3 linked regions of the Arabidopsis thaliana genome follow. The protein of the gene in region 1 interacts with the protein of each later gene in a pairwise test. Each region holds a gene or a part of one and is shown on either strand. Other genes may lie near its edges. The genes, in order: RABA1b, AT1G16000 and MAPKKK7.

The links.
Region 2: the proteins of RABA1b (region 1) and AT1G16000 interact in a protein complementation assay, tested with the Arabidopsis thaliana proteins (one large-scale study listed by BioGRID).
Region 3: the proteins of RABA1b (region 1) and MAPKKK7 interact in a protein complementation assay, tested with the Arabidopsis thaliana proteins (one large-scale study listed by BioGRID).

Annotation. Positions count from the first base shown.
Region 1 is NC_003070.9:5,784,871-5,792,560, reverse strand, and holds RABA1b (RAB GTPase homolog A1B), read left to right. Parts: upstream 1-3,248; 5' UTR 3,249-3,413; coding exon 3,414-3,634; intron 3,635-4,642; coding exon 4,643-5,072; 3' UTR 5,073-5,402; downstream 5,403-7,690. Other genes in the region: AT1G16940 (F-box/RNI-like/FBD-like domains-containing protein), read right to left, coding at 1-578; AT1G16930 (F-box/RNI-like/FBD-like domains-containing protein), read right to left, coding at 1,027-1,314, 1,408-1,548, 1,654-2,574; AT1G16916 (uncharacterized protein), read left to right, coding at 5,403-5,577, 5,666-5,799; LSH8 (LIGHT-DEPENDENT SHORT HYPOCOTYLS-like protein (DUF640)), read right to left, coding at 6,694-7,188. UniProt on the Arabidopsis thaliana protein: Intracellular vesicle trafficking and protein transport.
Region 2 is NC_003070.9:5,490,797-5,498,213, reverse strand, and holds AT1G16000 (GAG1At protein), read right to left. Parts: upstream 3,682-7,417; 5' UTR 3,639-3,681; coding exon 3,470-3,638; intron 3,157-3,469; coding exon 3,065-3,156; 3' UTR 2,855-3,064; downstream 1-2,854. Other genes in the region: MGT2 (magnesium transporter 2), read left to right, coding at 1,132-1,722, 1,836-2,294, 2,382-2,429, 2,522-2,752; CNGC7 (cyclic nucleotide gated channel 7), read left to right, coding at 4,278-4,324, 4,402-4,975, 5,063-5,275, 5,374-5,687, 5,773-6,121, 6,191-6,910; PnsB1 (NDH-dependent cyclic electron flow 1), read right to left, coding at 7,015-7,183, 7,262-7,347.
Region 3 is NC_003074.8:4,418,644-4,426,333, forward strand, and holds the start of MAPKKK7 (mitogen-activated protein kinase kinase kinase 7), read right to left. Parts: upstream 4,358-7,690; 5' UTR 2,801-4,357; coding exon of another isoform or gene 2,347-2,800; 5' UTR 1,892-2,346; coding exon of another isoform or gene 1,596-1,891; 5' UTR 678-1,595; coding exon 618-677; intron 447-617; coding exon 312-446; intron 197-311; coding exon 176-196; intron 14-175; coding exon 1-13. Other genes in the region: MYB5 (myb domain protein 5), read left to right, coding at 1,596-1,891, 2,347-2,800; FUS9 (Ubiquitin-conjugating enzyme family protein), read right to left, coding at 4,926-5,023, 5,247-5,394, 5,752-5,825, 5,926-6,154; AT3G13560 (O-Glycosyl hydrolases family 17 protein), read right to left, coding at 6,841-7,012, 7,098-7,125, 7,230-7,690. UniProt on the Arabidopsis thaliana protein: Serine/threonine-protein kinase involved in the spatial and temporal control system organizing cortical activities in mitotic and postmitotic cells. Required for the normal functioning of the plasma membrane in developing pollen.

The sequences.
Region 1 (7,690 bases):
GCTCCATACATCTTGTCCATAGTTAGGGTTTCTAGGGCTGGGCAGACTGAGACCAGCTTCTCCATATCCAAACTGTCAACAAAGTTGATTTTTTGTAGATCCATGATCTTAAGACAAGGCAGAGAAACTGAATCCGGCGATTTAGGCAAGTTTGCACGATGGAGCTTCAAGAATACCAATCTCTCACATGATGTATAAATAGTTGGAGGTATCTCAACTCTATCATATACATACCTTCTATTACTACCAACATCTAAATGTTGAATTTTATGTTTAATCACATTGTTCATCATCATCGACGTCATGTTTCGACAATTGTGACCATATCCAACATACCTTAGCTTAACTCTTTGTAAGAACATAAACCTTTCGAGAAAATCGAACTTATCATAATTTTTGGAGCCATTGATCACCAAATCCAACCCAGGCAAAGATTGCCAAACATATCTCCATCTGCGACATATAAGGCTAGTCTTGACCACCTCCTCCGTGGGAAGATTGAAAAATATCTCACAAAGCAAAGAATCTGGTAACTGGTTAATTATATTATGACCAACACGTTTCTCCTCAAACGTCATCTATAACTTCTGCGTTATATCAAACAATAATCACGAAGGAGAACTGAACAAGGAACGACGATCCGATCACTCGACTCTGCAAAGGGTTTCTGAGTCTTGATCACGTCAATACGTGAATGCGGCTATTTAAGGTTAATTTAAGTTTTAGGTAAATCCGAATCTTATAATGACCGAGATTTACGTAACAAAAAAGATGTAACTTTACTTTTATGATTTTATCCAACATTGAAAAGAAAAAAAAAAAAAAAAAAAAGGAAATTCATAGATACCATCTGGTTTTACAACTCCAACAGAGAGTGTTAATATATAGTAGGTAAAGAAACCTCTTCTGTAAGAAGAGACTAATCCACCAACATGTTACAAAAAAAACAAGCCTTGATTTATCTGTAGATCATCGGATTGGATACAAAACTGGATTTATGAGAGACGGCCTCGTAAGGTGGCTCAATTAATCCATGACAACTTGACAACTCGTAGAGCTTCTTGGAATCGCTTTGATTTCGTCGATGATGTTACAGAAACTCGCACTTACTGTCAGTTTCTTGAGAGCTGCACCATTCTCTAGAAAGTACTTTGCTAATTTCCTCTTACTTGATGTTCCTGTGAGCGGTCTCCCTTCCTTTTGCATGTTAACAACGTATGGAGTCTTCAAATGAACAAACTCAAGAGATGATAGGAAACATTGTGGCACATATGAAAGATCAATCTGCTCTGTGTCTGGAAAGCAATCAAATTCCTGATAATATATAACCGAGGGAAGTTTGAGTTTTTGTTATCAAAAATCTTAATGTGATTTACATGAGGGTAGAAGAAGCAAATGAAAACTCACCATGACGAGTGAGTGTAGATTTGGGAAGCTCTCAAGGAAGGTTGGCAACATTTCCCACCAAGTATCTTCGAAGTAAGCATGCAAGCGAGACAAGTTAGAGAATTGAGGTAGTTGTTCCATTTTGCAGTAATCATGAATAACCTATGCAGCCAAAAAAACAAACAAACATGGGTTCACTGAGAAAATGTGATAAAGCCATAAAGGAAGTGTATAAGCTTAATGTTATTGAATCGAGCATATATATACCTGTAGAGTATCAGAAGATATGACCATTTCGCTGACCGTAGATAACCCAGTGAGGAATTTACCTAGCATAGCTATCTTGGAAGAATCATCTGGTTCCAATGGATCATTATATTCGACATTAAAGATAACATCGATATCTACCTTTGCAAAGGGGCCAATGTTGTGTATTATGAAGCTGTCAGATCGATGATCACAAAGATTCATATACTCAAGTCTTGGAGCATCGATTGTAACAACATGATTTTGACTTTCGTAGCGCTCAGAATCTATCTTGAAGCTTTTTAAAGACTGGGAACGCACACACACAACTTCAAGAGAATCATTGGGATCACGAACTATGGTTAACTCTTCCAAAACTGGACAACCTGATATTAGAATCTCCAGAGTCGAATCAGCATCGTACTTGACCATATCAAGATGCATAATCTTGACACAAGGCAGCGAAACAGATTCCGGATGATCCAAGGCTACGCGGTAGAGCTGTAAGTTCACCAATCTTTCACATGAATAGAGAGATAAAGGCATCTTAACTAACTCGTCATCATCATCCACCTCATTATGAACATTAAAATGACAAACTCTACGCTTAATCACAGCATTGATCCAAGACTTGAAACGAGAAGCATCGTGCTCATTAACCTCATAGATCAACTTGAATCTCTCCAAGTGTTGCTCATTTTCAGAACCCAGAAACCTATTTACGAAACTCACAAAAACATCATCATCTGGGAAGTTATTGGAATCCAAATCCAATACAGGAACATGTAACCAGAGATTTCTCCATCGTTTTGATAAAACGCTTGTGCAAACCGATTCTTTTGTGGAGAGATCTGAGAGAATCTGACATAACAAGGAATCAGGTAAATTGCTTATCCTATCGGAGTTCCTTTGCTTCTCTTTAACAGAGGTTTCATCATCCATGTCGTTTCCTTAAACTCTGAACTATATAGTTTGAGACTGAATCATGTAAATAACAAACTGAAGAATCACGAATCTGTTAGCTAAAAAAGTCAACTCATAAACTCCAGAAAGAATCAAACGATACTGAAATTACCTGTAGTACTTAAGTATTATTTATTCCCAAAGAGATAACGGCGAGAGAGGAAGAATAAGACGAAAGCACCGTCAATTTTCCGGGAAAAGGGAACATAGATCGTCTCGCTTGCTTGTTGACATCTTTGACATCTCTAAGATGCAGACAATAATAGTCAACTCAGGACATTAATCACGTAGTTTTTTTTTACTATCTTTAATATTTACATTGATTACAAATTTTAGCTAGAAAAATAATGTATGTCATGGCGTGAGTCAATTAATAATATAACCAAAGAGAAGTTAAGTTTTTGAGATATGAAATTACATTATTACTAAAAGTTAAAACGTCCTATTTCAAGAAAAAGTTTGTGTTTATATTGTTGTACTTCCCACTTTATTAGAGCTAACTAATCTAGTGATCTTATGGTGATTTAATGATCAAATTTTTAGTCTTCACCCTGCTAATACAGCGAAAACCTGTAAAAAGTAAAAACCTTTTGATATAACAACAGTCACACACGCGCCCAATAGATCAACGGACCAGATCTCGATTACAGTTACAGACTGTCTTGTCACAAGCCGTCACTTTAACACATACACCAATTTCTTCTCAGCGTTATTTCAAATCTCAGTTTACACCTTCACACTGCTGCGTCTCTCTCTCTCTCTCTCTTTCTTTCTCAGATTAATCGCTGAGAAGAAGCAACCACCTGGAGACGGCGGAGATGGCAGGGTACAGAGTGGAAGATGACTACGATTACCTCTTCAAAGTTGTTCTTATAGGCGATTCTGGAGTTGGCAAATCCAATCTCCTTTCCAGATTCACTAAAAACGAGTTCAATCTAGAGTCTAAATCCACCATTGGCGTCGAATTCGCCACTCGTACCTTAAAAGTCGATGGCAAAGTCGTTAAAGCTCAGATTTGGGACACTGCTGGTCAGGAGAGGTTCGTTTTTCGTCTTCCTCGTCTCTTCATTTCGTTCTTCGTCTCTTATTTGTATGTAAAATCGGCCTTCATGCTAGATCTTGGTATTTCACATTGAGTTTCGTGGCGTATTTTCGATTTATTCCTGGGTCAATTGGTCTCGAGTACATTGCAAATAGAAGCCACTGTCCCGGAGATCACTCTAAGCTCCTTTGCTTCCATACTTAGGTTCTCGATCTAGCAGTGGCTTTAAACGAGTTTCCATAGATCTATCGTTTTGGTGACTTTGATAGCGGACACTAGCTTTTTGATTCGTTTGTTTGACTTAATTTGAATTTATGTTACTGTGTTGGAATTGAGCTCTTTAGCCCAATCTATATGTTCTATCAAACAGTTTTGGAGTGAATGGGAGCTTAACATGAAGCTGATCTTATCTTCTCTAGGTCTAGGTTGGTGAGTGGTGACTATTCAATGTGTGATTCATTCACTGGCTTATGTGCTTGTTTTTAGTTTTTTGGTTGTGAATGTGTTCTGTGTTCAGCAGCCTTTTACTAGAGAGTCTCTCCGTTGACTTTTGTACTCAAATATTGCTCGTTTGTCTGAAGTTGACTGCATTTGACCACCATTGACGGATGGAATCTTGAGGTAGCTAATAATGTAGATTAAAAAAAGTGCCCTTCTTCTGAAATAAGTCTTTGGGTTTTGACTCAATATGACCATGATTGCTTTGATGGAATCTGAATTGGATGGATGAACAAGAGCATGCGATTTTTTCTGGTTAATGATCACTAGAATCACGAACACTTGCATAGACTATTGTTAGAATGCTACAAAGGACTTGCTCTGTTTGCTAGTTGAGTTGCCTCCATTGAGACGATTGTTTTACTTCCTTCTTTGACCTACCAATTTAATTATCACTTTTGGCAAAACATAAAAAGCTTATAAGAATTTTCTTCTCTGACACCTTTTGTTCTGTCAACCACTGATTCTCGCCACAATTTGAAGACTCACTTTTGCTTCTCGTCTCAGGTACCGTGCCATCACTAGTGCATATTACCGTGGAGCCGTGGGTGCACTCCTAGTATATGATGTAACTCGCCGTGCAACATTTGAGAACGTAGATCGGTGGTTAAAGGAGCTCAAGAACCACACAGATCCAAACATTGTAGTGATGCTGGTTGGTAACAAATCTGATCTCCGCCACTTGCTAGCTGTTCCTACAGAAGACGGGAAGTCCTATGCGGAACAAGAATCGCTCTGCTTCATGGAAACATCTGCCCTTGAAGCTACCAATGTGGAGGACGCATTTGCAGAGGTGTTGACACAAATTTATCGCATCACAAGCAAGAAGCAAGTGGAAGCTGGTGAAGATGGGAACGCCTCTGTCCCGAAAGGTGAGAAAATCGAAGTTAAAAACGATGTCTCTGCGCTGAAGAAACTCGGGTGCTGCTCAAATTGAAGCCTTTTTTTGTTTTCACTGTTGAGAGAGAATTATAACCCCCATGGTCCATTGTTTGATTATGTCCTTGTTTTGTAACACTATCGACATTTGTATGAGTTTTAGACCATACACTACATAATGTTTATTTAACTTTATTTCAAGAATTGTTGGTGAACCAGGCTCAATATGCATCAGTTAAGCAGAGGAATCTGGATCTAAAATGCCGACGTTCATCTTCGATAGTTGGATCGTCGCTCTCCTTGTCCTCCAGTTTTGATTCTAATTTCCTCTGTCTTTGTAATCTTCAAAATCCAAAACCACAACTTCAGAACCGGGTCGGGTTGCGTTATGTTGTCGGGTTTAGGTCTCATTTTGTCACTAAACTGCAAACGACGCCGTTCCTTTAGAGAAGAAGAAGAAGATAGGAGCGAGCGAGCGAGCGAGCGATTAGAAGAAGAAATGATGGAGGAAGGACCACCAGCTCCAAAGATGCTTCGAATGGTCTACTTCGTCGGCGCCGGATGTAAGTTCGCTTTATGCTGCTTCATATTTTTTTCTATTTTGATCTCGATTGAATCCAACATTCCAATAAAATATAAAATATTTCGCAGTTCTATGTACATTCGCGATCAATAAGTGGCGTGAGATGGAGAGAAACTCGCTTCTGAAACAGGAGCAGGAGAAGAATCAACAAGGAGATGTTGGTTTATTGCCTAGAGATTCGGTTCAGAAAGCTATGAAATGATGATCACTCTCTTCTTCATCTTTTCTTGTAATTTTGTTTTGATCTTGTGATTTTAGTATCGTTGACCTAAAGTTTGCATCTTTTTTTAATGAACCCTAGAAATCTGATACTCGTACTCATTGGTTTCTGGCTTTGTGCTTAATTTAAAGATTGCTGCTTTCTGAACTCAATTTGATCAAAGGGTTTCAATAAGTCACTGCTTAAAATCTCTTACGGGTTTAGCATTTTCGAGCATTTTAATGCAATTCCCGACCGTGGATGTAATCAACAACAATCACCATTACCAAATCCAAGTGAGTGAGTTCCGGTTGATCGATTACCAATTATCTGGAGAAATCGTTCAGGCACCGGTCGTGAGATCTGCTCGTCTTCTTCGTCTTTTCAAACAGCCCAATGAACCCAATTCCATAGGGCCCATTAACCCTCTAATGGGGGAAATGCCTAATTTGATTGCAATTTTAGTACTCTCCACTACTTGTTCTGCAGCATTTGTTCCATTTTAGCCCCACTACTTTTGCGTATAAACCATATATACCTTAAATATATATCATCTCACCTTGCTTGGCCTCACTAAAATTTGAAGAACGTCATAGCGTTTGGTATGTAAATATTTACATACTTTCTACAGTTTGTACTCACCTAGTTATATGAAACAAGATTCGTATATATACCTCACAAGAATTCCATCAACTAAGGCTCATTCTATAATACACTTGATCTAGATATTGATAAAAACAAAATAGTGGATTATAGTAACTCTGTCAATAAAAATTGGATGAGTCAAAACACACTAAATTATAATCTCTGTATCATTTATATATAAATAGATAGGTAACAAGAACAAGTCAATAATCATTAAACTATGATGATTCCAAGGTGATTTAATTAGGCAAATTAAGTCCAAGTAGTACTAGTTCCCGTACCAACAACTACAAGACGCTTCTTTTTTTTGTACAAAACTCCTCTCGCCTTCGCCTGTGAACCTCTCACTTCCCTCAGAAAAATCCTAATCCCTCCCCGGGCAAACGGGTTTTTCTCCGTTAAGCCACCGTTCTCCTCGTAAGCTGCTCTCAGCCGTCCGATCAAAGCATCTAAGCTTCCCCACGCCTGTTTCAACGGGCAGTTACACTCTCCTGGTGGCTCTTTCTGTCCGAAGAAAACGCATCCTTGGATATGAACTTTTGTTTTACCAAACTGGTCACGACTTTGGAGGAAATCGAGGATGTGGTTTGATTCACACTCCCATACGTGAACTGGTGGCATCTTGGTCATGAGATACTGGCAAAACGTGTTCCAGTCGCGGCTTTTTTGTGACTCATAACGGCTTAGAGTCGGTGGTGGTCCTTCTACTATGCATTTGCCTTTGTTTCTCGTGTTTGTACTCGTCATTTCTGAAAGAAAAACCTTCAGAACCAGAGACGATGGAGAAAGTTTCTACCTTTTTTTTATTATTATTCCCTTTCAACTTACAATGTCTCGGCTCTTTATATAGATTGAGCTTACAATGGTTTAACCTACTTGGGCGCAGCTGAGCTGTCCAGCATATCACATCAGCACAAAATCAAGAGGGTGTCAAAACGACAGTTTTTTATTTGCGCCTCCGTACCGTACGACATGAGGATAAGGACTGGCTCTGCATATCCTTTGCTTTTGGCTTCATTTGCAGCTGACCGTTGTCATTTGCTGGACTGTGATTTTGTTGAGTTTTAATTGGGCTTCACTGACTTTTTGGCCCATTACCAAAACATCTTCACGTTTTGAGTTTTGGTGTTGTCGTTTTGATAATTGCTTCTCTTAAAAGTCCCAAATCAATTTGGTTCGTTAATTAGATTGTTGACTTCCGCATCCCTAAATTATTTACGCAGAAAGTTATGCAATGTGAACGCATAGC
Region 2 (7,417 bases), 290 kb from region 1:
TTGAGCTGAAATCAGTAGAAGAATTACGCGACATTTTGTGACAAGGATCAAGGAAGAGGAGCAGGTGGACAGCTGCTAACCGCCACGAAATAAACCGGGTCGGGTTATCAAATAATCGGGTCAATATCTGAAACGGGTAAACCGAATATTTCTAGATGCTCCACCGGTTAAGTCAGACATATCCGTCTGAATTATACGTTGTGTGAATGCGAATCTCAAATAATTTGTTCAATCATTCAGTTAGTATCTTACTTTATTACTCGGTTAATTATTAACCATAAATAAAAATAATGGGAGATAGTGATAATGACACAACGTTAAAAGATCTAAGTAGTTAAGTAGTTTAGATTTGATAATATAATGGGAAGTTAGAGATAACCGGTAAATTAGCTATAGTCGGTCGGTTAGCATTCCGGTTAACCCATCAATGGCTCGTATTCACACTAGTCGCGCGACTAACTAATAGAGAAAAAGCTTTTGCGTGTTTGTTGTTGTCTCCATCGCTCGTTTGTTTCTTCTTCAGCCATATCGGAAAAAACGATATCCGACGAGCCATTCGGTGTTTGTTCCGAGAAGCTCCGATCGATCTGTGTTAGGGTTTTTCTTTTTCCGCCTTATGAATCTCTCTATCGCGGTTTCATTAGATTCAGTTTAACTCGAGTGATGAAACCAATCTCCGTGCTAGAGGTAAAATTCTGTTAGGTTTTCTCTTTTTTGTTTTTATGCTTCGTACCGATCGATATGATTCCTGGTTCGTTTTGTTTCCAAATCTGCAGCTCTTTGATCCCGTGGCTGGTAGGATATTACGGCGTTTGTAGCTCTGGTATGGCTTTTGTTGTTCGTTTGGTTCTGATTTTCGAAAATTTTCGAATTTTTAATCGGAATCTGATTCTAGTTCATCGTTTTATTGTTACAGTCGTCGTGGATAGAGTTAGAACGACGAAATCAGCCTTGGTTTCCTAACTGGTATTTGTTCTTTAGCCTATGTTTTCAATTTTTCTCTTCCGGTTTTTTGGTGGTTTGTGAAACTACTTAATCTTCTTGATTACCTAATTAATCATATCATTGTTTACATCATTTATTTTGATATTTGTAGTTATTTGGCATTTCAGTATCTGAATTTTTGCAACAATGTCTGAGCTAAAAGAGCGCCTGCTTCCTCCAAGACCTGCTTCAGCTATGAACCTCAGAGATGCTTCTGTGACTCGGCCTTCTGCTTCTGGAAGACCACCCCTTCTTGGAGTTGATGTCTTGGGTCTGAAGAAGCGTGGACAAGGCCTACGCTCTTGGATTCGTGTTGATACTTCTGGTAATACTCAGGTCATGGAGGTTGACAAGTTCACTATGATGCGTAGGTGTGACTTACCCGCCCGTGATTTAAGGCTGCTTGATCCCTTATTCGTGTATCCCTCTACTATCCTAGGCCGAGAGAAGGCTATTGTTGTCAACTTAGAGCAGATCCGTTGTATTATTACTGCAGACGAAGTTCTGCTTCTGAATTCCCTTGACAACTACGTGCTGCGCTATGTTGTTGAGTTGCAGCAGAGACTAAAGACTAGTAGTGTAGGTGAGATGTGGCAGCAGGAAAATTCCCAGTTGAGTAGGAGGAGGAGCAGGAGTTTTGACAATGCTTTTGAGAATTCATCCCCTGATTATTTACCTTTCGAGTTTAGAGCTCTTGAAATAGCCCTTGAAGCTGCTTGTACGTTTCTCGATTCCCAGGTTAGTAACACTTTAGCTTCGATTTTGTTTCCCCCTCAGAAAATATAGACTAATATTGGGCTTGGATTTGACTACTACACGCTAAGTTGATTTAATTTTATCCTTCTCTATAGGCTTCAGAGTTGGAGATTGAGGCATACCCGTTATTAGATGAGCTTACCTCAAAGATCAGTACACTAAACTTGGAGCGTGTGCGTAGACTAAAGAGCAGGCTTGTAGCACTGACAAGAAGAGTTCAGAAGGTTCGGGATGAGATCGAGCAGCTAATGGATGATGATGGAGATATGGCAGAAATGTATCTAACAGAGAAGAAGAGGAGAATGGAAGGATCTATGTACGGTGACCAGTCCTTATTGGGTTACAGGTCAAATGATGGTCTATCTGTTTCTGCACCGGTGTCTCCTGTTTCTTCTCCACCTGATTCCCGAAGACTTGATAAAAGCTTGAGCATTGCGAGGAGTCGGCATGACAGTGCAAGGAGTTCTGAAGGTGCAGAGAATATAGAAGAGCTAGAGATGTTGCTGGAAGCTTACTTTGTCGTCATTGATAGTACTCTAAACAAGTTGACATCGGTACTTTAATGGCTCCTCTCATTTTTACTTTTGATCTTTCTTCGCTAGACAGCTTTAATCATCTGTGTTCCTCTCTTTACTTTACAGTTAAAGGAGTACATTGATGACACTGAAGATTTCATTAACATTCAACTGGTAATACCTCAAAATTCCATCTTCCACAGCTGATATTAATCCAGATTGAGAATGCACAAGAGTCATGCTGAAAACCTCTTCAATATCTGCAGGATAATGTGCGGAATCAGCTGATCCAGTTCGAGTTGCTTCTGACGACTGCAACGTTTGTTGTAGCCATATTTGGGGTCGTTGCTGGGATCTTTGGGATGAACTTTGAGATAGACTTCTTCAATCAGCCAGGTGCATTCAGATGGGTACTCATAATTACTGGAGTATGTGGCTTTGTGATATTTTCGGCATTCGTCTGGTTCTTCAAGTACAGAAGACTCATGCCTCTATAAGAAGAGAGACATGAATGTGCTCCCCAGAAAGTAGACATCAACTTATATTGTTATGTTGCTTACAGATATTAATGATTTGTTTCCTTTACACAATGGAATCTTGGGAATTTTTATCATAGGCATTGTCAATCCAAATGTGATAGAATCTTTGATCTTTTTATTAAAAAACGGATAACCAAACATGGTGCATGAAAATGAGAATGATTTTGAATCTAAATCACAAAAAAGACTCAGATTTTGACTAAGTTTTAACTTGTGTGGGAAAATGAGTACGAGATAACAGTGTGCAAATGACTCAATCCTTCAGACAGACTACTTGTTAGCTGATGAAGACGATGAGAGGCGTGCTTTTCGAGCTTTATCGGCCTTGTCCATGTAATCTTGGTGAGATTGATGCTTTGACCCTAAAAGAAACCAAAGAACTTCAACCAATTAGCCCAAACAGAGTCAACACTATAGGATGTAACCAAAAGCAGATGTAAGAGATATACAGATTCAGGTCCTATGGGAATGTTAGAATGAAACAATGTGATCCATTTCCATATATACTGAGAAACCATTTACTCACTATGTCATGTTTCTCATTTTGCAAGAAAACCAAAATCAGAATCTAATTGCAATCAAAATCCTCCAATTTCATCTTCTACCAATTACCCTTTCAATCCCCAAGAAGGGATTTGGTTATACAATTATTAAACGATGAGAGAGAGATCGGACCTTGAGTCATCAAATACCAAGGAACTCCGAAGATGATGGTGACGATTCCGATCCCGACCAAGACGTGCTTCTTTTCACCACTGTAAACGTAATGTTCCATTTTAGCTCTGAATCCTCCGCCTCCGGCCATACTTGCAGGACCACCGTTGGTCTTCGTCTCATTTCCCATTTCTCAGATCTCTCTTTTTTACTTTTCCTTTCCGATCAACAGCACACAAGGTTTATCCATCAGAGGTTTTAGTACCATGTATAAGTGGGCCTTATTATGGCCCATCAACATAAGATTTCCTTTTTATTGAATAACATTTTAAACCCCATATTTTGTTACATATTAGTGTAGAAGCGTGATAACTTTCTGACATTACAGTTTCACCAAAAAATACGCGGTAAATTCGCTACTCATCGAAAGCCAATAAAGAGAGTGAATTAGATAGAAGAGAAGAGAGCTATAATAACTCTTCGCGCCTCGTCAAAATACGCGGTAAATACGCTCCGCATCAAAAGTTAGTTAGTGTATGATTATGGTAACCAACTTTCACAACGGTCCAATCTAAAGGAGTATTCAATCATTCATCCGTCATCTATGGTACTAAGTAGGAACCCTCAATTTCTTCATTCTCAAGTTTCTTCAAGCCCTAGATTTTCCTTAATCATTCATACACTTTCCCACATTTATTACAAATCACTTTAAGTATTTGTTGCCGATCCTTAATTAGCTCTTTTCCAGTTTTTATTTCATATAATTGAGATCTGTTGTGATGTTGTTAGGTTAATTTTTGCATGAAGCTTATGATTGTTTCTCAGAATAATGTACAAATCCCAATACATAAGCGGCCAAAGAGAAAAATTCGTTAGGTAAGAAAATCAAAAGATCGCAATATTTTTCTTTGTTTTCTTCAGATCTATGAATGACATTTAACTTATAATTACAGGTTAGATGATATAGATTCAAGTTCTTCTCCTGCGACTGGAATGATGATGCAGAGAAACTGTTTCGGATTTAACCTAAAGAACCGAGGAGGTGAAAAGAAGAAAGCATCCAAATCTTTCAGGGAAGGAGTTAAAAAAATCAGATCAGAAGGTCTAATAACCATCGGTAAATCCGTTACAAGAGCGGTTTTTCCAGAAGACTTAAGAATAACAGAGAAGAAAATCTTTGATCCTCAAGACAAAACACTTCTCGTATGGAACAGATTGTTCGTCATTTCGTGTATTTTAGCTGTCTCTGTTGATCCTTTGTTCTTCTATCTTCCCATTGTCGATAATTCCGGAAGCAGCTGTATAGGGATTGATACGAAACTAGCTGTTACAACGACGACTCTTAGAACCATTGTTGACGTTTTTTACTTAACTAGAATGGCTCTTCAGTTTCGTACAGCTTATATAGCTCCTTCTTCTCGTGTGTTTGGTCGTGGTGAGCTTGTGATTGATCCTGCAAAGATCGCTGAACGCTATTTAACCCGTTATTTCGTCGTCGATTTTCTTGCAGTGCTGCCTTTACCGCAGGTAAAACAGAGTGAAAAGATCCTTTGATGGTTACTAAAAATATTGGACTTTTGGGATTGATTATGATGTTTTGTGTGGATATTACAGATTGCAGTGTGGAAGTTTCTTCACGGGTCTAAAGGATCGGATGTGTTACCAACGAAAACGGCATTGTTGAACATTGTAATTGTGCAGTATATTCCGAGATTCGTGAGGTTTATTCCGTTAACATCAGAGTTGAAGAAAACTGCAGGAGCTTTTGCCGAAGGAGCTTGGGCTGGTGCTGCTTATTATCTTCTCTGGTATATGCTTGCAAGCCACGTAAGCGTTTCTATGTATATATGACTCTTCTTAATTAGTGTTTTGAGACATTTATTCATCATTGGTCACTTTCTGACTTTACAAACACATTTTGACAGATAACTGGAGCGTTTTGGTACATGTTGTCAGTGGAGCGTAACGATACTTGTTGGAGATTTGCGTGTAAAGTTCAGCCAGATCCGCGACTCTGTGTTCAGATTCTGTATTGTGGGACTAAATTTGTGAGCAGTGGAGAAACTGAATGGATCAAAACAGTCCCTGAGCTTCTTAAGAGCAATTGTTCTGCTAAAGCAGATGATTCAAAGTTTAACTATGGGATATACGGTCAGGCTATATCTTCAGGCATTGTATCATCAACAACATTTTTCTCCAAGTTCTGTTATTGTCTATGGTGGGGTCTTCAAAATCTCAGGTAAGGCGGGGGCAACTCATTGTCATTGGTTCAACCGATAGCTTGTGCAGAGTACTCTTGACATCTTTGGTGTTTTCATGAACAGCACGTTAGGTCAAGGGCTGCAGACAAGTACATTTCCAGGAGAGGTTTTGTTTTCCATTGCGATTGCTATAGCTGGGCTTCTTCTTTTCGCGCTTCTCATCGGGAATATGCAGACTTATCTTCAGTCACTTACTGTTCGTCTCGAGGAAATGAGGATCAAAAGACGTGACTCAGAACAGTGGATGCATCACAGGTCACTTCCACAAAATTTGAGGGAAAGAGTCAGACGCTATGATCAATACAAATGGTTAGAGACAAGAGGTGTAGACGAAGAAAACATAGTTCAGAGTTTACCTAAGGATCTCAGAAGAGACATCAAACGCCATCTCTGTCTGAATTTAGTTAGGAGGGTAAGTTTTCACAATCAGAATGCTAAAATTGCTTGAGATACTAACTAACTATGTGTTCTGTTTCTACAGGTTCCTCTGTTTGCTAATATGGATGAAAGATTACTTGACGCAATCTGTGAGAGATTAAAGCCGAGTCTTTTCACGGAAAGCACTTACATTGTGCGTGAAGGAGACCCCGTTAACGAAATGATGTTCATAATCCGAGGCCGGTTAGAAAGTGTAACAACAGATGGGGGAAGAAGCGGTTTCTTCAACAGAGGGTTGTTAAAAGAAGGAGACTTTTGTGGTGAAGAGCTTCTGACATGGGCTCTTGACCCTAAAGCAGGCTCAAACTTACCTTCTTCCACAAGAACAGTGAAGGCTCTGACTGAAGTAGAGGCTTTCGCTCTTGAAGCTGAAGAGCTGAAGTTTGTAGCAAGTCAGTTTAGGAGACTTCATAGTCGACAGGTTCAACAAACATTTAGGTTTTACTCTCAGCAATGGAGAACTTGGGCTTCTTGCTTCATCCAAGCTGCTTGGCGTCGCTATTCAAGAAGGAAAAACGCTGAATTGAGACGGATTGAAGAAAAAGAAGAAGAATTGGGTTATGAAGATGAATATGATGATGAGAGTGACAAGAGGCCTATGGTTATCACAAGAAGTGAGTCTTCTTCTAGACTGCGTTCAACGATATTTGCATCAAGATTTGCTGCTAATGCATTGAAAGGGCACAGACTTAGGAGCTCAGAGAGTTCAAAGACCTTGATAAATCTGCAAAAGCCTCCGGAACCTGATTTTGATGCTGAATAATCCAATTCTTGATGAGAGGCCAACATCAGAACAGAGACTACATAACTGATTTATACACATAAATGCTCTATATATAGAACTTGTTTCAGAAACTGTAAAGTTATCTACACGAGAGCCAATGATCCTTCAAAGACCTGCATTGCATTTTTAACAGTTCCAATGTCGATATCTGCTAGTTTTCCAGTCTTCGAAGCAATAATTACACAGTTACTCTTCTCTTCTGCATACGGTACAAAGAGCTTCCCTTTCTCTTCTGAAGAGAACAACCCAATACTGGAAGAAAAAGAAGCACACACATGTTAGTTCTTGAAAACATTGAATCAGTACTCTTTATATTACTCAGGTATTCACCATGGTTTGTCTCGCGCATTAGCTAGTTGAATCGCAGCTGTGTTTGTTGCGATGACTCCAGCAGAATCGTTTATCAGAGCAGCCAACTAAGTAAGCTCAAGAAAAGGAATCAAAGTAAGATCAGTGAATTCAACTTTGTTCATAACAAATACAGAC
Region 3 (7,690 bases), on another chromosome or scaffold:
TATGGTTCAAGTTCTGCAATGAAATATTATCTCAGAATACATAGAGAAGAACTGCATCTTAACCAGCATCATAACCATTCATGAGAAGAAGCCAAAATTCAGAAGGTGATTGATTTGACATAAACTTAGTATCAGGATCCCAACTCTGTAAACAGTACAAAATTCAGAAAACTACCTTCAAAAGATCAATTTCTTGCTGGAGAAATTCATCCCAACAGCACAAGAATCATCCACATGTAAAAACCAGGATTAGTCAGCATAGCAGTGGTAAGGAACAAATAAGGAAGATAGATATAAGGAAAATAACAAACCATAATGGTGTTAAGATCCTCTTGAACAATATTTTCCAAAGAGACTTGTTTAATGGCCACAAAGTCACCATTCTCCAAGTCTAATCCTTTATAAACTCGACCATAAGCTCCTTTACCAATTTCATCTCCCAGCATCTACCCTCAACATATCAAGGATCAACCATTGAAATTAATCAAAATTGAAGAGAAAACAGCAAAAAGCACCAGACTTAAGCTTAAAATCAATAAAATTACTAAAGCTAAAATCTTAAGGAGACCCATTAGAAAACCCAAATCCCAGAAATTACGGAGAAGAAGAAAGCTCACATATTTGTTGTCGAGAGTCTTTGATTTGTGAAACTGAGATGACGTCATTTGCCGCGCCATCTCTTCTCGTTTCTTCTTCCTCCGTCAGCAGAACAAAAAAAATGCAGCGAACAGAACACAATTGCTCCTCAAGGAAACAGAATCCAATAAGAATTAGGGTTTTAATTTTTTGAGAAAATTGAAAGAAAAGATTTCGAGATTGGTGGAGTTGAAAGATCAGAGATGCCAGCTCTATTACAGTAGTGAAAATACATGACCAAATTTTAATAAAATCAAAATTAAGAAAAAGGAAAGAACAAAACAAAAGTTTTGGGTTAGAAATTGACTAACTGTAATAAAGGAGAGGTAATTATGTTAATTTCTCATGCGCCTGTATTCTTCTTTATTATGTGGCCCATACTTTTTATTTATTTACGATTTCACCCCTTTATTTCCCGATTTGTAAAAATACTAGCATTTTGTCCAATTACTGATTAATCATCTATTTAAAAGGTGGTCCAAATATTTAATGCTTTTTCACTGGTGTCAATTTTAATTAAGGTGGTTAGTATTCATTAATGTATTATCAACCATTTTGTTATAACTTTCTCAATTGTAGGAGCTGGTATAATCGGATGTTTATAGCCAATCAAATTATAATTCATAGTAGTATCAAATCTTTAATATAAATAACTAGAAGCAACTAACCTATGCATTGTAATAACATTAGCCATTTGGATTTCAATATGATTGTTACTGCAAAATCTTTAAAATGAAAGGAAAAAAAAACCACGCAGGTGAAATAAAAACCAAATGAAGATTATTACCAAACGCCGAAGCTAGCGCGTGAGAGAAAAGGTCGGTAGGTTCATTGGTAACATCAGCAGACTAATGGAGAGAGAGAAACTTTGAGAAAAGAAAAAAACAACCAATCGAAGAACTCATAGAGATCACGAAACCCTAGTGGAAAGAGAGAAAGCTTTGTTGAAGACGGCGGAGATGATGTCATGTGGTGGGAAGAAGCCAGTGTCTAAGAAAACAACGCCGTGTTGCACGAAGATGGGGATGAAGAGAGGACCATGGACGGTGGAGGAAGACGAGATTCTTGTGAGCTTCATTAAGAAAGAAGGTGAAGGACGGTGGCGATCGCTTCCTAAGAGAGCTGGTTTACTCAGATGTGGAAAGAGCTGTCGTCTACGGTGGATGAACTATCTCCGACCCTCGGTTAAACGTGGAGGAATTACGTCGGACGAGGAAGATCTCATCCTCCGTCTTCACCGCCTCCTCGGCAACAGGTATATATATAGATATTAAAAAAAAATCTCGTCAAGTATTCAACTATACAAGATCGTTTAGTTTATATGCATACGTATGTGTGTGTCTCTCTCTACCCATACACTAGAGTTATTTTTTTGTTTAAGCTAGCTAGGGTTTTATTTCTTCCACATAAACATGAAGGTTCTGATTTTAGCTTGATCCCATTTTTTCTTATAGCTATATAAAACAATTATACTTTGATTCTTGATTCGATATTTATATAGAACAAAAGGTTAATCCCTTCTCTAGTTTCTTTAGAGTATAATTTTAATTAAGTTGATTCTGGTTCTAGAGCAAATTAATAGTTCTAGAGATCATTCATTCTTTTTTCAAATTGTTTATGATTACTAGGATAAAAATGCAAGCTTGTTTTGTAACCATATTAGTAATTAACCGCTCTTGTTCTTCATGGAAATTCTAATGTGTGATGCAGGTGGTCATTGATCGCGGGAAGGATACCGGGAAGGACTGATAATGAAATTAAGAACTATTGGAACACTCATCTTCGTAAGAAACTTTTAAGGCAAGGAATTGATCCTCAAACCCACAAGCCTCTTGATGCAAACAACATCCATAAACCAGAAGAAGAAGTTTCCGGTGGACAAAAGTACCCTCTAGAGCCTATTTCTAGTTCTCATACTGATGATACCACTGTTAATGGCGGGGATGGAGATAGCAAGAACAGTATCAATGTCTTTGGTGGTGAACACGGCTACGAAGACTTTGGTTTCTGCTACGACGACAAGTTCTCATCGTTTCTTAATTCGCTCATCAACGATGTTGGTGATCCTTTTGGTAATATTATCCCAATATCTCAACCTTTGCAGATGGATGATTGTAAGGATGGGATTGTTGGAGCGTCGTCTTCTAGCTTAGGACATGACTAGATACAGGAAGATATATAGTTGATCGAATCTTGATGTCTTCTATATCTACCATGCTTCAAGAAGGGGTCACAGATGCGATCTAGAAGGTTGGCATATATGTGTACTAAGTTGTTTTGTGGTGATTTGTGTGATTATTATAAAACCATAAATTGTGAGTGTAACTGAGTACACAAACCTCTATTTATATATATGGATATATCTATTGCGAATAAATGAATCATCACTATCGTTAAATAAGACTCGTGGTAAGCTTTTGTCAAATACAGATAACTAATAAGCATGTTCACAATCTTAAATTATGGTACTAGATATGTTTCTAAGTTTAATTTCTTCAAGAAGTTTATTTAATGTAAACAATACAGGCTAGCTAAGTGCTAACGTTAAACTTCATATCCTTGAAAACAAAAATACACTAAACTTTATAAGCTATTAAACATATTCCGGACAGTTTACATACTAAAGTACGATAATAACATATATGTTGTTTGAAAAAAAAAACATATATGTTGCCTATAGGTTTATTATGTGTTTGCGTCACCACACGAGTTGAGGTTATAAAACTCTATTTTCATGTAATACTAAATTAAAACTCAAAAATGTTTGTTTTAAGTATTTCAGACACAATTCATGAGTTGTATATATAAGTTGAAACTTATAGGTTCTTTTTATCGATGAGGATATACTATAAGTTCGAAAATCAAAGTTTGTTGCGTAGTTCACATTTACGTATCTTATAGTAAGACCAATGTTGGTCGAAGATATAGTTTTTTACCTATGCATGCAGATTTATTGTTTAACACAGTTTTATGTATATATATGCTTACTTCATCACAGTCTCTCGTCCGTGCGTTCTCCCTCTAGAATTCGTTACTTAAAACCAAAAAGAACACCATGCCGTTTTCACATTGACTCTTCACACGTTCCCACATTTACGCCATATAAACTACCCTTAGTTAAAGCCTAGGAAAATTGAATTATAGACCAACATTAGCGGTTAGAATAATTGACGTTTAATTTACATAAGTTTTTACTTTTTACTTAAAACGAACTTCGCATGCGACTATGCTGCTCCGACCTAACCTTCTCTTTGACCCTTCGGTTCACATCACAGCAGCAAAAATAATTAACTAACCGATAGTCTCTGGCTCAACCAAATTTAGACGAAAATGATTTATTGCCAAAAAATTCGTAAACCTAAGACTCTGATTAACAAAATTTTAGTGTTAGATACATAGTCATCATAAGATTGGATACTATATATAGTCGATATACTGGATATATCTTCCAACATCTCTAGAGGTTTTACTCAAAACTTCAAGAGAAATATATATGATGCCAACGAAGGGGAACATTAAATAAAAAAATAAGATAAACAAATTGAGTATATACATGTGATGCATAAAATGACATATTCATCTGCATATACACTAACACATCTAACACACGTATAATTAACGGATAAATATTACAACGTACCGATATGAAGATATTAGTCGCAGAGACTCAAAATATGTTACTCTTTTTTAACACTGCTGTTCTACATATTCTCTATATATACCATGCGTAGATAGATATGTACTGACCATTTGTGATAATTATGTTAAACAGAGTTAGGTTAAAAGAACGAAAAGAATTGACCGGTAGATTTGGTCTCTCAAGTCTCACTTGTGTCTTCAATAGAAAGTTTGATCTTTCTTTTTGGAGATAATCAATCAATAAAGATTATGGAACATGTTAGGTACCAACTAATACTCTTCAGTTTAATTATCTCATCTGTAATCGCTTTTCTCTAGAAGTTATGGCCTACTATTCTTGTTTCAAAACAAAATGCTCTTGTTTTCTTATAAAAGAAACAATTCCTCAGTTATATTCAGACCATATATGATCTTTGGTTTTCGAGTCCTTGACGAAAAGATTTGACACTAAATTGTATAACCTTCAATAAATTGGAGTTGTTGAGGATTGGTCCTACCTCACATTGTTGCCTATTATCTGAGCAAACAATTTTCTTGGCCATCTAACATTGTGGTTCCACTTTTATGAATGTACATTGATGACCATTAACTAACCAAAGAACTAGGTGTATTTATAATACATCAGTTGTCTTTTCCTCGTATTGAAGATCTCACTTGGCAAATCGCAATGTCCATTCTTTGGCTACCTCGTCATGCTTTTCTCTATCTGTCAAGTAGAGCCGTGCAATCACCGGTAAAGCTGGACTATCTGGTCGATGAAGAAGAAGCAAAAAGAATAAGAACAATAGAGATTTACTATGGAAGTTAAATACAGTAGTTAGATGCGGACATCTATTATGTTTGTTGGCCAAAACTCATCACAAACTTTTTTTTAAAAACGTTCTCTTAGGTAGATCTGACATGAGCTGGTCATTTCATCAGAGGACTTGAAATGGTCTGATCTGAAGCCTGAGAGTAGAATAGAAACTTACAGGGTTCAGGTTTTAAGAAGATAGATCTGATGGCTTGTAAGACTTTAGTGATTGTAAGGGCTGGACTCCAACTATCTCTTAGAATGTTCACACTTAAATCTCCCGCAGTATCAACATTGCAATGGTAAATCCGAGTCTTGAACACCAACTGCAAATCAACCTCACCAACTTAACCAAAAAGACAGATGTAATAAAAGTGCAAGCTCTAGATTAGTACCTATAGCTTGACTATCACTAGACCCAAAACTTCAAGAAATTTGCTACAAAATGTATCCTAAGACTATGTTGAAAGCAATAAAACTACATAATATGCTAGACACTGAGAGTCTGAGACACTAGATGATCTCTGTTTCAATGTGATGCAGTTGAAGACTCATTGATATTCACTAAATAGTTCTTCCTAAAGAGATCATCATTAGAAATCAAAACTTCTAAACCTTAAATCATTACCAGCTAAATCAGTAAAGCTCCCAAAATGTGTTAACCAAAGAATCCATGATCATACCTTAGGTGGCTTGAATGGATAATCAGATGGGAAAATTATATCCAGGAAAAAGATCCCTCCTTCATAGGGAGTTCCTGCAAAAGTTCCATAAACACCAAATTCAAAGACTTGAAAACCTAACAAATTTTCAATCGGATTATCTACAAATATTCAAAGAGAGTATCAGAATTAAACCCGAAGGACCAATGATGGTGGCGATCCAATGGTAGAGATTATCTCCTTTTGGACCAGCTGAGCAATCAGGAGGTGGATCAATGTTAAGCTCAGCCATCTCCCTCTGTATCCTCTTCCCTGACGCAGAAACTGAAGTCTTCGCTACCCAAGACGACGCCGTTCCTGAATATCCGGCGTACATCGCCGTCGGTAACGGTCTCAACCTCCCGCTTCCGCCAGGTGTCATCATCTCCCGTCGTCGTCGTCTTCCGATACTCTCTGCTTATCCAATCCACCACTTGATCGTTTCGCTCGCACTCCATCGGGAAAAGATTTCGAAACGCCGCGTTTTTGTCCGATCAATTAAACAAATAAAGTAATCGCTGACGTGGAGATTAATTTTGTAACATGTATTTTTTATTTTTATTTTCTCTCACTAATCACTATCAATAAATTTGTAATCATTTTGACAACCAAATTTATTTAAGTTGAATTATCGAATATTCTTGTCCTTTTGTGTAATGTGATCATGTTATAACCACGTGAATCCTTAATAATTTGATAAATGATTATTCAAAGTTCTTGAAAAAGGCACACATTTTGGAAAGAAAATTGAAATTATCCAAAATCAATTTAATTTTTGTTTAAACATAATCAAATTTACTCTGTCAATTTTTATGAATAACATGATTTACGTAAACTCTCCTACAATGCACTGATTCATTTGAATATGAAATTTAAATCACTCTAATTCGAATATTTTAGTTCAAAGATGAAGACAAAAAAAAGAATGGGAACTTGTGAGCCCTCTTTAGTCTCTAGTTACACTTACACTAAAAACAAAGTACACAGTAACTACCGGTAACCGTAAGAAATCCAATCCAAGCCACAGGTAGACTTCCCCGGTTACTACAAAACCGCTTTTTGGCAAACGTTCTACAAAAGGCGGTCATGCTGAAGCAACAGTTGTAGTAGAGTGAGAGCTAACGGTGCCAATATGGGAAGATGGTAGCTAAAGATGATACGTGCGTTTGCGTTTCCTCCCAATGGACTTGCGGGTCCTAACGCATCCGGAGGAAAGTTTCCATTAGTAGCGTTTGCGTTTAAGCTGAGATAAATGGAAAATGATTTCAAAGAGTTAGGAGCAGATTTCATTTTCAAAACTTAACAAGACATAAATTTAGTATCGTTACCTTCCCGTATATGCACATGTTCTATAGCCTGCAAACACACAAGCCATCGAATTTGAGATTTACTCTGAGGAAACAACTTGAAAACATAGAATTATTGCAACACATAGATCAGAGGAAATGAGAAAAACTTACTAGGATCTCTAGTCGTAGTGATAGCCGTACCATCAAAGTCACAAGTTCCACCTGCACTTTTCATCTTCTGGTAATAGTCATTGAAAGCAAAAGAAGCATGGCTCTTAACATCGTTAGGGAGGTAGCAAGGTTGGCCCGGTTGAATGGCAGCGCAGTTAGCTCGGCCTTGACCACACGCCCAATTCAAACCGTCAACCAACTTATCATCATCAGCATCTGCTTTAGCCACGCAGAACATCGATGAACCGTTTAGAGCTGCGGAGCTAGAGCCACCACTCAAACTCAGAGGGTAAACCGAGGTCCCATTTGGAAACAAAATCCCCCAGTTTCTTTCAGAGACTGGTCCTGACCGCTTGTCTTCATTGTACAGCTCGTAGATGTAAGTGTTTATCGGTATGTCTGGTTGACTAGGAGGACCTGAGTTGTTCAGCACTCTCTTGATCAAGTTAGTGTTGAATGTC